2 linked regions of the Elephas maximus indicus genome follow. The protein of the gene in region 1 purifies or fractionates together with the protein of each later gene. This does not show direct contact. Links are inferred from orthologs where the notes say so. Each region holds a gene or a part of one and is shown on either strand. Other genes may lie near its edges. The genes, in order: DCAF4 and COPS5.

The links.
Region 2: the proteins of DCAF4 (region 1) and COPS5 purify together in Homo sapiens (affinity purification with mass spectrometry; 4 studies listed by BioGRID and IntAct, counting the BioPlex papers as one, with this or other methods). This does not show direct contact. The link is inferred for Elephas maximus indicus from reciprocal best matches to the Homo sapiens genes DCAF4 and COPS5.

What each region holds. Positions count from the first base shown.
Region 1 is NC_064828.1:85,745,500-85,753,528, reverse strand, and holds the start of DCAF4 (DDB1- and CUL4-associated factor 4), read right to left. Parts: upstream 3,261-8,029; 5' UTR 3,109-3,260; exon of another isoform or gene 3,045-3,108; intron 3,006-3,044; exon of another isoform or gene 2,956-3,005; intron 1-2,955. UniProt on the Homo sapiens protein: May function as a substrate receptor for CUL4-DDB1 E3 ubiquitin-protein ligase complex.
Region 2 is NC_064833.1:75,494,180-75,501,879, reverse strand, and holds the start of COPS5 (COP9 signalosome complex subunit 5), read right to left. Parts: upstream 3,108-7,700; 5' UTR 2,826-3,107; coding exon 2,683-2,825; intron 1-2,682. UniProt on the Homo sapiens protein: Probable protease subunit of the COP9 signalosome complex (CSN), a complex involved in various cellular and developmental processes.

The sequences.
Region 1 (8,029 bases):
GGCCAAATTATGCGAGATGAAGTCTTGCCATTCTTGCTTCAAAGGAGCATTCTGGCTGTACTTCTTCTAAGACAGGTTTGTTCATTCTTCTGGCAGTCCATGCTATATCAATATTCTTCGCCAACAACATAATTCAAAGGCATCAATTCTTCTTTGGTCTTTCTTAGTCATCCTCTAGCTCTCACATACGTATATTGTTGTTAGATGCCATCGAGTTGGTTCTGACTCACAGCTGCCCTACGCACTACAGAACGAAACACTGCCTGAGCCTGCGCCATCCTTACAATCGTTGTTATGCTTGAGCCCATTGCTGTAGCCACTGTGTCAATCCATCTTGAGGGTCTTTCTCTTTTCTGCTGACCCTGTACTTTACCAAGCATGATGTCCTCCAGAGACTGATCCCTCCTGAAAAACACGTCCAAAGTATGTAAGACGCAGTCTCACCATCGTTGCTTCCAAAGAGCATTCCAGTTGAACTTCTTCCAAGACAGATTTATTCGTTCTTTTGGCAGTCCATGGTATATTTAATATTCTTCGCCAACACAATTCAAAGGCATCAATTTCTTCCTTCAGTCTCCCTTATTCAGTGTCCAGCTTTCACATGTATATGATGCAACAGAAAATACCATGGCTTGGGTCAGCCACACCTTAGTCTTCACGGTGACATCTTTGCTTTTCAACACTTTAAAAAGGTGCTTTGCAGCAGATTTACCCCATGCAATGCGTCTTTTGATTTCTTGACTGCTGCTTTCATGGGTGTTGATTGTGGGTCCACGGATAATGAAAGCCTGACAACTACAATCTTTTTCTTCATTTATCATGATATTGCTCCAGTTGTGAGGATTTTCTTTTCTTTATGTTGAGGTGTAATCTGTACTGAAGGCTGTGGCCTTTGATCTTTATCAGTAAGTGCTTCAAGTCATCTTCACTTTCAGCAAGCAAGGTTGTGTCATCTGCATACATATGAGGCAACTGAAAATACCAAGGCTTGGGTCAGGCGCACCTTAGCCCTTCAAGTGACATCTTTGCATTTCAACACCTTTTGCAGATACGCTCAATTTTGAGTTAGGGTCAATTCAATACAAAGAATTAAGAGAAATTTTGTGGGTGTAGTAGTCACATATGTAGCTACTACATACAAAAACTACAAATATTACCATTCCTCTCATTAAAACGGAACAATACACTTTTTAAGTGAGGTAATTTTTCTAATTACTTTAAAATGTTGATCTGTGTATGCTGCAAATACGCATTAAGTGGTCTGCAGATGACACACTTTGACAAACTGTACCCTGAATCTATTAAAAGAAAACAGCAATCTGTACAGCCTCTAAAACATACTGAGAAACCCCATCCGCTCATCTTACCTATCTCTGCTCATTTCTTCCAATCGTTTTTTCCCATTAAATCCATTTTCATCTCCATCAAGATCTTCAAATCCTTTGACCCTTCCCTTTTCTTCAGGTTCATTAACAACTCTGGACTTCTTTTCTTTCCTAAAGTCTGCGCCCCAGGGCCAAACACAGGACGAAAACTGTGGGGAAGCTTCCCCCTCCCCAGCTTGCTTCTGGAATATCTTTCTCTTAATCCTCCTCTTGCCTGTCAGATTAATCGTTTTCTGGCTTCTCGTGGGTCACCCACTCTATGTTTTCCACACTGTTCTGTCCTTGTGCCCACATGTGGACTCTCTCTTTAATGTTAAAATATTTTTTACTACACCCAGCTTTATTCTGCATTGTTAAGACAGGAACTTCTCATTTATTCTCCACAAAAGCTTTGTGCATATTAAACAGAAAAGTTATCAGCACAGTGGTGATACACAGATTGACAATACGTGGTTCTAAAGTCAAACACGTCATGAGAATTCAAATTCAAAATTGGAAACAATTTTATCTGCCGACAGCATGAAATCCGGCACATATTCCTTTTTAGATTACGTTTCTCAACTAAGGGCAGTTTTGCTCCCCCTCCCCCCAGGGGACATTTGTTAATGTTTAGAGACATTTTCAGTTGTCACAACTTTTGGGGATCAGGGGACTGAGGACGCTACTGGCATCTAGTGGGTAGAGGTCAGGGATCCTGCAAACCATTGTACAATACAGGACAGAGAACAGCCTCATAGGGTTTCCAAAGGAGCAACTGGTGAATTTGAACTGCCAACCCTTTGGTTAGCAGCCAGTCTCTTCACCACTAGGCTGCCCAGGCTATACCAGACCAGTAGGTCTGATCTTATTTATGAGTTTGAATTTTTTTCTACATCTCTCTCCCTCGCCTACTATTGTGGCCTCAAAGGTACCAAGGATTGTGAAGATGGCGCAGGACTGGACAGTGTTTCGTTCTGCTGTACACAGGGTCACTACTGACTCGGAACTGACTGGAGGGCACCTAACAACAAGTCAACCGAGGGGACAAGGATTCCCGGACTCTGCAAGCACTTATGTGGAATACTGGCTTTCCTTGATAACACAGAACTCAGTGTGGAGATTAAAGGCCCAAGGTCTGGACTCAGGAGGCTTTGGTTCATGGCAGAGTCCCACCACTTCCTAGTTGGTGAGCTACCTTGCGCGAGTTACAGCCTCGCTACCCCTCTTTCTGCACCTGACAAAGATACTACTGCCTATACCTCATAGTGCTGCTGTCTGGAAAACTTAGTGCCTGTAGTCAGCGCAGTGCCCAGCATTTAGTAAGTGGGCAATATGAATTAAGCTGTTATCCTGACCAGTCCGAAAAAGTCTTATCACAATCTGAACTTTAACAGGGGAGAAACCGCCCCCAAGGGTACCTAACACCAAGCGGTCGGTGGGGCCTCCGGGATAAGAGTTTAGAAAAACGACCCTTCTGCTTCCCCTTCCCGGTGTTCACAGCTGCAGATCCGACCCGACAAGGCAACGCGCGCTCCACGCCCACGAATTTCGCACCCCGGGCAGAAGCCCAGCCCGCCCGGTCGGTCCCTACCTCCGCCACGGGCAGGTCGGCGTTCCACGTGCTCGGCTCCTCCCCGCCCCTTTCCCTGGCCTCCCTCTACGCCCTCAGCCACCCGAGACCTGACGCGAGCAGCAGCCGCTCCCGGCCTGACGCCAACGCGCACCTCAGGCAGCACCGACCCACCGGCTTAGAAGGTCTCTTCCGACTGCCCCTAGGTCCCGGCCCGGCACGGGTAAAAGCCAGGCTAGGCGGGACCCGGAACCACCAAGCTGCAGCGTCCGCCAGTTGGGCGTATCCGTTCTTATATTGTAGCAGCCGATAGGGCCACGGCGAACGCCGCTTCCTTCTCATTGGGTGTGACTTCTGGCTGTCGACGTTAATAGGGTCGATCTAACGGGAGGCGGGGCGTGGGGTTCGGGTCCGCCCAAGCCTAAGCGTGAAAGCCACGTGTCTGCAGGCCGGTCTGAGCCGGGCGCGGCTGGGGGCGTGGCCGAGGCGTGGCCGAGCGGGGGCCGGGAGCTGCTGTGTGAGCTGCGGGGCTCCGAGGCGGCTGGCTCTGAAGTAAAGGGTCTTCCTCCGAAGCTCGTTTACTTCTCTGCCTGCAGCCGACGGACGACCCGGCCCCCGAAGCCCTCTCGCCTCTTGGGGCCTCTGGCTTCAAGTCTGAGGCTTGGAGAGAGAGAGGGGAATATTGTGTTGGGGGAAGGGCAAAGGAGGTTTTGAGATGAAGGAGAGCAAAAGGAAGAGGGTGCCGTCTTTGGCAGTGACTTTAGGTGTCTGAGGCAGCTGACATGAAGCCTGCGTGACTCCGACGTGCCGAGGAGCGTGCCCCAAACTGGCAGTCAGGAGACCGGGGTTCTCCCTCTAGTTCATTTCTTACTTGCTGTGTGAGTCTCTTCCGTTCTCTGGGTCTCAGTTTCCTCAGTTGAATCAGGGAAGTTGATCTAACGTTCTGTCGTTCTCACCAGCGCTGAATTCAGTACAAAGTGGAAACAACCCAAATGTCCACCAACAGATGAATGGATTAACAAAATGCGGTATAGCCATACATCAAACCCGAACCCAGTGCTGTCGAGTCCATTCGGACTCATAGAGACCCTATAGGACAGAGTAGAACTGCCCCATAGGGTTTCCAAGGAGCGCCTGGCGGATTCGAACTGCCAACCCTTTGGTTCGCAGCCGTAGCTCTGAACCACTAGGCCACCAGGGTTTCCGTAGCCATACAAAGGAATATTATTCAACCGTATAAAGAAATGAAGTTCTGATACATGCTGCAACGTCAGTGAACCGTAAAAACCTTCTAATTGAAAGAGGCCAAACAAAAGGCCACATTATATGAGTCCTTTCATATGAAACGTCCAGAATAGGCAAAGCTATAGAGACAGAAAGTAAGTTGTGGGTCCCCGGGTCTGGGGTTATGGGGTGAGGGATAAGGGGGTGATACTTAAAGGGTATGGGTTTCTTTTTAAGATGATAAAAATGTTCTAAAATTGACTGGTGATGGTTTCATGTTGTAAAGAAAGTGACACCTCCCCCCCCCCCTTCTTGTTTAAACATAACCTTTCACAGAAACTTAAAAACTTGTCGTGATAAAGACAGTTTTGGGCAAAGCTGAAATAGATAAGCCACAACTAGCCTATAGAATGCAAAGTTAATAAATCAGTCCAAGCTGCCTCCTCCTGATTCAGGGAATGGCAACCAATCATTTTAAATTTCTCTTTTAGGAAACAGTTTGTACTGTGTGATCGAAATTGTAATGTGACAAGCTCACCTCTTTGGAGGGGTGCTTTCTGTTGTCAGTTTTTTCTGCAGTTGAAACTTTTTAACTCTAGGTAACTTATTGGTTGGATTTTTTCATTCAACATGCACATCTGTGAATATACTAAAATCTATTGAATTTGTAATTCGATTTGAATTTGTGAATGTGTTGTGATAGAAAGTGACTGGGGTCCTGTGTTGGGCTGGGCATACATTATCTCCCCCCAACCCCTTGCACTTTCTGCCCGTTTTTGCCCTGCTCTTCCAAATCCACGGAATGTACCTGGGCTTCCCTGCCATCTGACTTCTGAACGAGTTCAACCAATGAGAGGCATCAGCAGGAGATAGGTGGGTGAGAGAAAGAAATCAGAATATTGCTTCCTCCCTCCCTGCCCTGGGGTATGTTTTCAGGCAGTGGTTCCTCCTCAGAGTCCAGCTCCCGGCAGGCTTCAGGAATTTCATTTTCTCTCTCTCCCCTCCCTTCAAGCCTTCAGATGGTAGTAGCTTTCTACAGTTGCCAGCCCCTGGGTGCCCCAACAGGTTTTTGTTTGCTTGTTTTTCCTTTACCTTGCCCAGCCATTATCCAGTTACCGTCCAGTGGATTCAGACTCATGGTGACCCCATGTATGTCAGAGTAAAACTGTGCTCCATAGGGTTTTCAATGACTAGTTTTTCTGAAGTAGATCCCTAGGCCTTTCTTCTAAGGCACCTCTGGGTGGACTTGAACCACCAACCTTTCAGTTAGCAGCCACATGTACCATCTGTTTGTACCACCTAGGGACCTCTTTACCCTGCTAAACTTCTATTAATAGTTCCTTCATTGAAGTTTCTTGAACCATCCCAGTTGGATTCTATTTAAGGAAAGAACTTTTTGAAGAAATTACTTTTTTGGGTTGTTTGTTTAAGCAATTATTGTGACCATTTTTTTTTCCAGATCAGTAAATATTCTTATATACTTTTCTGGAAACCCTGGTGAGAGTAGTGGTTAAGCGCTTCAGCTGCTAACCAAAAGGTCAGCAGTTTGAATCCACCAGGCGCTGCTTGGGGATTGTATGGGGCAGTTGTGCTCTGTCCTGTAGGGTCACTATGAGTCGGAATCAACTCCACAGGAATGGGTTTGGGTTTTTTTGTTTTGTTTTGTTTATATACTTTTCTAGAAAAAGCTCAGTCTGATTAGTTCAAAAAAAGAAAACAATAGCCAGACTTGTCCTTCCATAACTGAGTGCTGAATGGATTCTGTTTTTTTGCCCTGCCCCTACCCTGATGCCTAAGTGTCCTGGGCTGTGCATTAAAATGGGTGGTATGCACACCTTGTGACTCTACATCCCCAGGCATCTAGAGTAGCCAAGTAATGCTGTTTTTCTGGCTTCTTTTATGTTTCAGAACTGCATTTCCTTTATCAGGCTTCACCCTCAGCCATGCATTTCTCCACGCACTACCCTCAGGAGGGGTCTCAGCCACAGGGAGTCAGTGGGGCCCTTTCTTGCACACACAGGCCACTGTGGAGCCTATTTTTCCACCTTCTTTATTACCTTCTCCCCTTGGTGCCCAGAATTGGGCTTCTGTTTGGAGAATTCTTCCCATAATTTTTTAAACTCCCCCCACCCCTGTTTAGCATTTGTAAGTGTGGGTTCTTCCAAGGATGGTTTAGAGAAGAGAAAGAGGAGGGGCCGCAGAAAGGACACCTGCGATGGCTTCCAAGAGCACCACTCATTTTTTCCGCGAGATAGAACACTAGAAGGATGAGTATTGTTTTCCGTGGCTGACTTTATCAGTGTCAACGGCTTTATAAGCATGAAAAGCTATAGGCTAAGAGAAGGGGGGACAAAAAGTCTGCAAAAACAGGGTGATATCAGGACAGGAAAAAAATCGAGGCATGTAACTGTTCCAGGTGTTACTGCCTCCCTGGTTTCTTCTGCACTGGAACCTCTGTTTAAACACTGACAGGAGGAGGATTGCCTTTAGGGGATGTGAGAAGGGGTGTGGGGAAGCGTTCATCTTCAGCCTAGTGTTGGGAAACAGCAGAAGGACTTAAAGCGGAGCTGAAATTAGGAACTATGTGTGTATGTGCCTGGGAGGCTTTTTAAAAATCTGATGGGAATGTAGTTCCTGGTCACAGAAGAAGCCATGAGGGCCTGGAATGTAATCTTTTGGTTGTTTTTTCTGGGATCACAGATTTACAAAGTCAGGTAAACCAAGAAGGCTAAAGTAAGGAACCTCTTTAGCTCTAACTTGTGTCCCTTCCCCTCCATTTCTCAGATGAACCAACACTGATTATAAAATTAATTTCTTCCTTGTTCTGTCCCAAATTTGTCTCCTCTCTTATGCATTAAGAGGTAATTTGAGGCACCGTGCTCCCAGCTTTCCAGATTATAAAAGTATTAAACTACGGAGAAAATGAGACAATGTATTTGAAAATGTTTTGTACATTGGAAGGAAGACACTTCATAAATGTTGCTTAGTGCTTGCTGTTCATGATCACTTGAAATACATCCTAGACGTTAAGGCTCCGTACTGTGGAGCCAGTCCTGTGTTCGAATCCAGTTGCATCACAATTTAGAGATGGTGTGTTGGGCATGGTGCTTGGCCTTTCTGAGCCTCATTTTCCCCATCTGAAAAATGAGGATAATAAGCATATCAGTGTGCTGATTAAATGTACTTGGAACACATAAAGCACTTAGAACAGTGCCTCACCCATGGCGACTACTCAATAAATCAGTGAAACTAAGCCAAAATATTGCATTGCAACCTTCTTCCACAGATACAGTGGAAATGCCAGCAGTTTAGCAGCACCACCTTGAGAAAGACCTGGAAAGGTCAAGGAGAATTGCAGAGGGAGGTTTGCCAGGCATTTGTTTTTCCATCCTGAGGCATGGGTGTGATTTCCCTACCTCTCCCCTGAGGCTGCAGCTCCTTCAAAGGAGACCAAGAATCAATGGAGTCTTCAGCAAAATAAGATTCTCTTTCTATACTTGGCTTCTTTTCACATCACTCTGGCCAGTGTCTAATGATGAAATTGGCTCATTTTCTAGAACCAAATAGACATTTGTTCCCTGTAGCCCATGGTGCTAGTGCCATTATTAATGAGCTGCACCGATGCCCATTGCTGTAGGAATCATTAGGGAAAGCCTGATAGACTTCTGTTTACTGCCAAGGGAGGTGTCAGAGGCAGAGAAAGCACAGCTGGGGCCTCCAGCCCCCAGCAGATCGTGCAGTTCAGGCAGCCAGAACAATCATTCTTACACTTGCGAAGTGAGGACATAAATTCTAAGAGGAATAAAAATGGGTAAGATAAAACATTCAAGGGTAAGATTTCAGAATCATTTTTTAGGTTTCTGAACTGTTG
Region 2 (7,700 bases), on another chromosome or scaffold:
TTATTATTTGAAGATAATATTGAAGGAATGTACAGGGATGGAAGGGGAGACAGACTGCAGATTGTAGGAAAGAAAAAAACAGCAGAAAAGGACAGAGTTCCTGCAGACAGCTGGAAATAATAAACATGTTATAATCTGAAATGCATTTATTTCCCCTTGGAAGAAAGGAAAAGTCTGAAAATTTTTAAATATGCTATCCAAGTAGAAAGGAGAGAATTATATGACTGGTTCAAAAGACTTTTTCTCCATTAATTTTGGAGTCACTGATTATCTGATTCTGACTCTGGCTGGATGGTTAGGCCTAACTGTTCTCAGGTCCAACCTTCTGGCTTAATAATTAAAACTATGGGCTCTGTTATCTATCTGCCTAGGTCTGAATCCTGGCACTGCCACTAGTGGTGGCCTTAAGCCAATCACTTAATGTCTTTGCCTCAGTTTCCCACCTGCAAGCAGGGTTAAAGTAAATGGAATAATGTATATAAAGTACATAGCACAGTGCCTGACACATACTGAAACTTTAGTGTTACTTAACTCTTATTAGAATTATCAACCTCTCTGTGGCACTACCAGGAGCCCTGGTGGTACAGTGGCTAAGAGCTCGGCTGCTAACCAAGAGGTCGGCAGTTTGAATCCACCAGCTGCTCCTTGGAAACCCTATGGGGCAGTTCTACTCCGTCCTATAGGGTTGCTATGAGTCCAAACTGGCTCGATGGCAATGTATTTTTTTTTTTTTATGGCACTACCAAAGAACACTGTATTGAAAGGTATGTTTCCCTCTGTGCTATAAGCCTCAAAATTAAAAATGTAGCCCTAATATTCCTAGTTTCCTTATGATCGTTATTCTAGAATTTGTCATCTGTGGATGGAGCTAAACAACTCTTGAATAAAATTACATTTCTGGTCTCATTGATGAATCCCAAGATGTTAGGCTGAATTTAATTAGAAATATAATCAGTGAGGCAAACCAATACAGTTTCCAAATGGACTACATCAACCTTAAATGCACAGCCTGCTACAGAAGTAAGCAGACAACAGGCAACGTAAGAAGTCTGAATAGAGCAGTCAAAGTCTCTGAGAAGGCTTTTTAGATGACCTCCCACAGAAAATATTCAAGTTTAATTCTCAAACTTTGCCAGATTTCAATCACAAGCTGAAAAATATGGAGACCTAGTCTTAGGAATCAGAGACATGAATTAAAATCTTGGCTCCTCTGTTTACTGGGGGGAAAAAAAAAGAAGGCACAGTTAATGTGCTCCTGTTACATACATTCTAGACCCTTTTTATACATTACATGATATAATCTTTATTAAACCAACAAGAGGTAAGTCTTATCTCTGTTTTATAGAAAAAAATTGAAGACTCAAAGAGAATAAGTAATTTTCCCAAGGTCAATCAACTAGTCACTGCCAACTCTGAGATGTGACCTTGAGTTGTGTTCACTGCTCAGTGTCATTGTGAGGTAAGTTACTGAATATATTTACTTGTATTCTTATTTACAAAAAAAGAATATATAGCACTAGGTTGTCAGGAAGATTAAATGACATATGGAAATTCCTACCTAGCTCAGTGCTCGGCTCTTATTAGGTACTCAGTAAACACTGCTGAATCTAGATACTGTCAATTAAAGCCAGCCTTGTACAAAACTGGGGAAAAAAACCCAGTGCCATGGAGTCACTGATGGAAATATAGTTTCTGTGGGTGACCACAGCTCTCCTTCTTATCTGTCCATTGTTAGCTGCTATGGAGTAGGCCCAGACTCAGTCACATCATGCACAATGGGATCTGACCATTGTGATCCATAGGGGTTTCTAGTGGTTGGTTTTTCAGTAGTAGATCTGCCAGGCCTTTCTTTCTAGTCCATCTTAGTCTGGAAGCTCCACTGAAACCTACTGAGCATCATACCAATATGCAAGCCTTCCCTGACAGATGGGTGGTGGCTTTGCTTGAGGTGCATTGGTGCGAATCGACACAGGTCTCCTGTGTGGAAGGTGAGAATTCAACCGCTGCCTAGATAGTAACTTTCTGTGTTCTTTTTACTGTCTATCAAAATCTTCCCTCAGGAAAGTATAAATGCTATGATGTGATGAACACTCGACTTGTCTTTATTCCCAGGGATACATCTACTTTGTAAGAGGCAAAGTGGCTTAAGCTCTTATTGATATAATTTCTGGTTTATGGTAAGTGGTGCCTGGAGTAATATTTGGGGAGATTGGGTGCCTCTGACATTACTACCAGCAAACAAAAACTATTACACCTCTCTAAAAGACAGCTCATAGCTATTTTAGAGACGGCTCCAGTCACCAGCTGGCATCAGCCGAAGGCCCCACCTTGGTAAATGTCCACACAGGTTTCATGGCAGAGTGTGTGGCATATATGATAATATGGATGCTGAGACGTGTCAGCCCAAATCACCGCTTCTCATTCCCCACCTCCATCCCCCGGAGGTAAATGGGTCAAAGAGACAGAAGGGGGAGTCGCGGCAGGCCTCAGCGGAGGAACTTAGGCTCTAGCAGCAGAGATAAAGGTAAACCGAAATCTCTCAGGTGCACAGTCCCTCCCCTCCCAGACCATGAAAACACAAGGCAAAGCTCTCCACCCCCTTCAACTCCCACTCCCCCTGGGCCTCCTCTTAAATCCCCGCCGCCCCTTCCCTTCCCAGCGTCTCGCCAGGGACTTCCTCACTCCTTAGTCCAGGGCTTCGCCGCCAGGATTTCCTGCTGCTGTTTCTTGTCGTATTTGTAGATTTCATCGATACTCTGAGCTTCTTGCATGTTGTTGGCCAATTCCCAGGTTTTCTGGGCCATACCACTCCCAGACGCCGCCATGGCCAAGGAGTCGGAGTTGTTGCCTCCACAACCAAGACGCAACTTTACCCCACTAGGTCTCGGGGCGAGGGCTTCCAACCCTCCCCCCTCACCGGTCTTACACTCTTACAAGACTCTCGAGGCTGCCATGACACCTAGAACCGGAGGTGAAGGTGGTACAGACCATTCGGGGATGGCGGGGGCCCTTCGGGGAAGCGACGGTATAAACAGCAGTTACAATAATAGGGAAAGAGAAATATCCTTGTGGCTGAAATGAGAACATATCCACTCGAAATTAGAGGTGTGAGTTAGAACAAACACAATAATCGGGCTTGGGAATGGTACAGCCTTCCACACCGGAAGAAGGTCATGCACGCGTTATGCCAGCACTTGGAATTAGCCTTCTTTGTTGGTACTGCGCAGGCTCGATCTCCGCCATATTAAAAATGGGTAGGGCCTCAGCCATAATAGGGGGAAAAAGTGTCTTTGTGAGGTTGTAGGTTATCTTAAATAAGATAGGTTCCCTGAATAACTAAAAAATAAGGATGTCTGTGGAAGGCTGAGATGTACCTAGTTCCGGATGCTGGTTGAAAGGAAGATAAAGTCATCCTGTTTTACTTCAAGATGACTAACTGCACATGCGTAAAATGAAGTGGGCGGCTTGGCGCACCGTTTTCAGATGCACGTCCTCTAGTGTTGGGAGTAGGTATGGAACCATGTGGACTTCAGTGGTTGTCCCTCTTGGCTTGTTTGTAAAAATTAGCATCTGTATTCAATGTATTATGAGCTAGTTACTGTCCTGAAAATGTCCAATACTGTTTTTATAATAGATACAGTTATATCTTCAATACCATTCTGTGAAACCTCTTCTGACCCTGAGTCCGAATAAAATTTTAGCAACCTGTTTTCTTCCAACAGTTAATAATAAAAAAAAAAAAAACCAGGTCTAATTATTCCGTTTATTAGTTTACTCGTTTTAGGTCAACCCCACCCTCCACCCCAACCCCGATTCTAAGTTCCAAAACGGGGGACCGGGTCTGTCTTATTCCTTGTTTTATCTCTAACACCTAACATACTGTTTTGTGTCTTGGAGTGGATTCCAACTCTAGCGACCCTGTATGACAGAATAGAATCGTCCCATAGGGTTTCCTGGACTGTAATCTTTGTGGGAGCGGATCGCCATACCTTTTCTTCTGCAGAGCGGCCGGTGGGTTCAAAGTGATGACCTTTTTGGTTAGCAGTTGAGTCTTCAACCACTGTGTCATCTTGGCTCCTTCCTAGCATATTAGATGTTCAGTAAATTTTTGTTTAAAAAAAAAATATTGTTAAAGCTGTTCACCTGGTTCCTCTGCTCCTCTTTAGCTTCATCTCTCTTTAGTCTCCCCCCCAAAAACTTCTCGTTCTTAAAATACCAATGCATTTATTTTGGGTTTGCACATGCGATCACCACCGCTTGAAATTCTCTTCCCTGACATTTCTGCCTGGAAACTCGTGGTAATCTTTAAAAACACAAATCAGAGATTGCTACCATGAAACCTTTCTTGACTTCCTCCTCCAGTGATCATTGCTTCCACCGTGTATTTTATTAATTTTTAAAATGCATTTGTTTACTTGGAAGTTTTCATTTTCATTGTAAGACTCAGTGCAGGACACTCTGCATTGCCTCCTTCACTCTTAGTATAATAAAAAAACAAAAACCCATTGCCATTCAGTCAATTTTGGCTCATGACAACCCTATAGTATAGTGCCTGGCATATGGTTAAAAAAAAAAAATTAGAGTTATTGAATCCACACCCTGGCTTGCAGGTTTCACATTGACTTCCAGCTGAAGAAAATTTGCCTTTAAAGGTCTCCTTACAAAGTACTTTAGGATAAAGGACCCTTAGTTCCACTCTCCTGGGAAGTTAGAGATCTCTTTTCTTGTGGTAACATTGGAACATTCAATATTGGGGTGAAGTGAATAACATTGAGAATAGTAATAAAAGCCCAGGACATAACATTGACTAGACTCTTGGATGAGGAGTAATTCCCCGTAAAAGCATGCCAACAGTTTTCTTCTCACTTTCTCCCCTCCTCTTTTTTCTTTCCAGGCTCAAATGGATCCAGGGGGAATGCAGAAATTATTGAACAATATAATTAATATCACACACAATTAAAATTTTGCTGAAGATCATTCAAAAACGGTTGCAGCAGTACATCGACAGGGAACTGTCAGAAATTTAAGCTGGACTCAGGAGGGTGTGACAAGGGATATCATTGTTGATGTCAGGTGGATCTTGTCTGAAAGCAGAGAATATGAGAAAGATGTTTATTTCTGTTTTATTGACTAAGCAAAGGCATTTGACTGTGTGGATCATAACATATTATGGATAACATTGCAAAGAATGGGAATTCCTGAACACTTAATTGTGCTCATGCAGAACCTGTACATAGACCAAGAGGCAGTCGTTCAAACAGAACAAGGAGATACTGCATGGTTTAAAGTCAGGAAAGGTGTGCGTCAGGGTTGTATCCTTTCACCATAGTTATTCAGTCTGTATGCTGAGCAAATAATCTGAGAGGCCAGACCATGTGAAGAACTCCACATCAGGATTGGAGGAAAACTCATTAACAACCTGCCATATGCAGATGACACAACCTTGCTTGCTGAAAGCAAAGAGGACTTGAAGCTTTTACTGATGATCAAAGACACAGCCTTCACTATGGATTACACCTCAACATAAAGAAAAATCCTTGCAACTGGACCAATAAGCAACATCATGATAAATGGAGAAAAGAGTGAGGTTTCATTTTATTTGGATCCACAATGAACGCCCATGGAAGCAGCAGTCAGAAAATCAGATGACACATTGCATTGGGCAAATCTGCTTCAAAAGACCTCTTTGAAGTGTTAAAAAGCAAAGACGTCACTTTGAGGACTAAAGTGTGCTTGACCCAAGCCATCGTGTTTTCGGTTGCCTCCTGTGCAAAAAAAAAAAAAATTTTTTCCCTATGCATGGGAAAGCTGGACAATGAATAAGGAAGGCCGAAGAAGAACTGACATCTTTGAATTATGGCGTTGGTGAAGAATATTGAATATTCCGTGGACTTGCAGAAGAATGAACAGCTGTCTTGGAAGAAATACAGTCAGAATGCTCCTTAGAAGGGAGGGTGGTGAGACTTTGTCTCACGTACTTTGGACATTTTATCAGGAGGGACCAGTCCCTGAAGACAGACATTATTCTTGGAAAAGTAGAAGGTCAGGGAAAGAGAGATCCTCAGGGAGATGGTTTGACACAGTGGTTTCAACAATGGGCTCACACACAGCAACATTGTGAGGATGGTGAAGAACCGTGTTTCATTCTGTTGTACACAGTAGGGTCACTTTGAGTCAGAACCCCAAGGCACTTAACGACCACCACCCTGTTCCCAGCCGGTGCCTAGGGGCGGGAGTAGCTCTGGAAGGACTCAGCCTGGGAAGTGGCTCCCACAGAGGTTTAAGAGTCCCAGGAAGGAACCCATGAACCAGGAGACAAAGCCTTACGTGCAGCGGGCGGCCGTGCGGCCTCCCGGGCGGCAGGGGGCGCCCCAGGCCTCGAGGCCTCCCCGCAGGGCGGCAGTGGGGGCGGGTCCGCGCCCGGCCGTTGGCAAAGGGTGGGCAGAGGGCTCGGCCTGAGAGGCGGAGCCCGGCGGGGTGGCCTGTCACACTGTTCCCGCGCCGGGCGGCCGCCGCCACTTCTCTGGACAGTGAAGGCGCCTCACCGGAGCGCTCTGCGGCTCCCCGGGTGAAAACCGGCCCTCCTGAGTAAGAGTCCGCCGGCTGGGGCTGGAGAGCGGGCTCTGCGGGTGTGGCCCTGTGGGAAGGATCCCTCCGGGGCTGGGTTCTCGGCCCTGCGGCGGGGGCGGGAGCGGTGGGTCCCTGCGCACAGGGTTCTTGCGGCTGGCCGGCCGGGGCCAATGCCCGGGTGATGGAGTCGTGGACGGAATCTAGCGGCTGCCGAGCTGGCGCGGGCGGTGTCCAGGTAACGGGGGACCGGCGCTCGCTGAAGGGCGGAGGTCTTACGGCTGCCGCGCGGAGCGAGGGTTCGCTGGGAACGGGGGTCTCGCGGCGCCCGGGCCGGGGGAGGTGCCCGTGCTACGAGGCAGGGTGCGGGGATCTCACGACTGCTGGGCAGAGCGGGGGCGGTGTCCGGGTTTGGGGGTTGGCGGTTCCTTACGGGCGGCAGTCTAGGGGATGCCGGGCAGGCGCGGGCGGTGCCCGGGTCACCGGGCCGGGGTCCCCGAGGGAACGGGAGTCTCTTGTCTGCCCGGCGGAGCAGGGGCTCCTTGGTGGCGGAGGTCGTGGGGCGGGGGCGGTGTCCGGGTGGCTGGGCCTGCGGGCGGGGGTCTCGCGGTGGCGGGGTGGAACGGGGGAGGTGCCTAGATTACGCAGCCCTGACACGGGGGTTGTAGCCCTGCGTCTTGTTGTGACCCGGTTGCCTGACTACGCGTTGACGCTTCCTAAAAAGGCATTCACCCCCAGCCACCTGGGACGGTCCATGTCCTCCCTTTCGGGCGTCTTCGCTCCGCATTCGCCCGGCTCCGTAGCTCGGCGAAGCCCCCCGGAGCGCCTGGGTGCTGGTTAGTGGTTAACGTTTGTTGAGTGCTGGTGCGCCAGGCGCTGTTCCCAGAGCTTTCCTTTGCAAGTAATTACTTAATCTTCACTACGGCCCTATGAGATAGGTGCTATTATTATCCAGTTTTACTTCTGTGATTGCTTGGCTTCTTGAGCTAGAATTTCTTTTTTCTAAATGCCTTCATTTTAGTGTTATCTGTGACTTAAGTCCAGTTTTTGTAAAGGTAGCAATAGGACTCATCTTTTGGAAGAGGCTGGCTCTCAAAATTACAGGATCGAGGAGCTTAACTTGGATGTCTGGA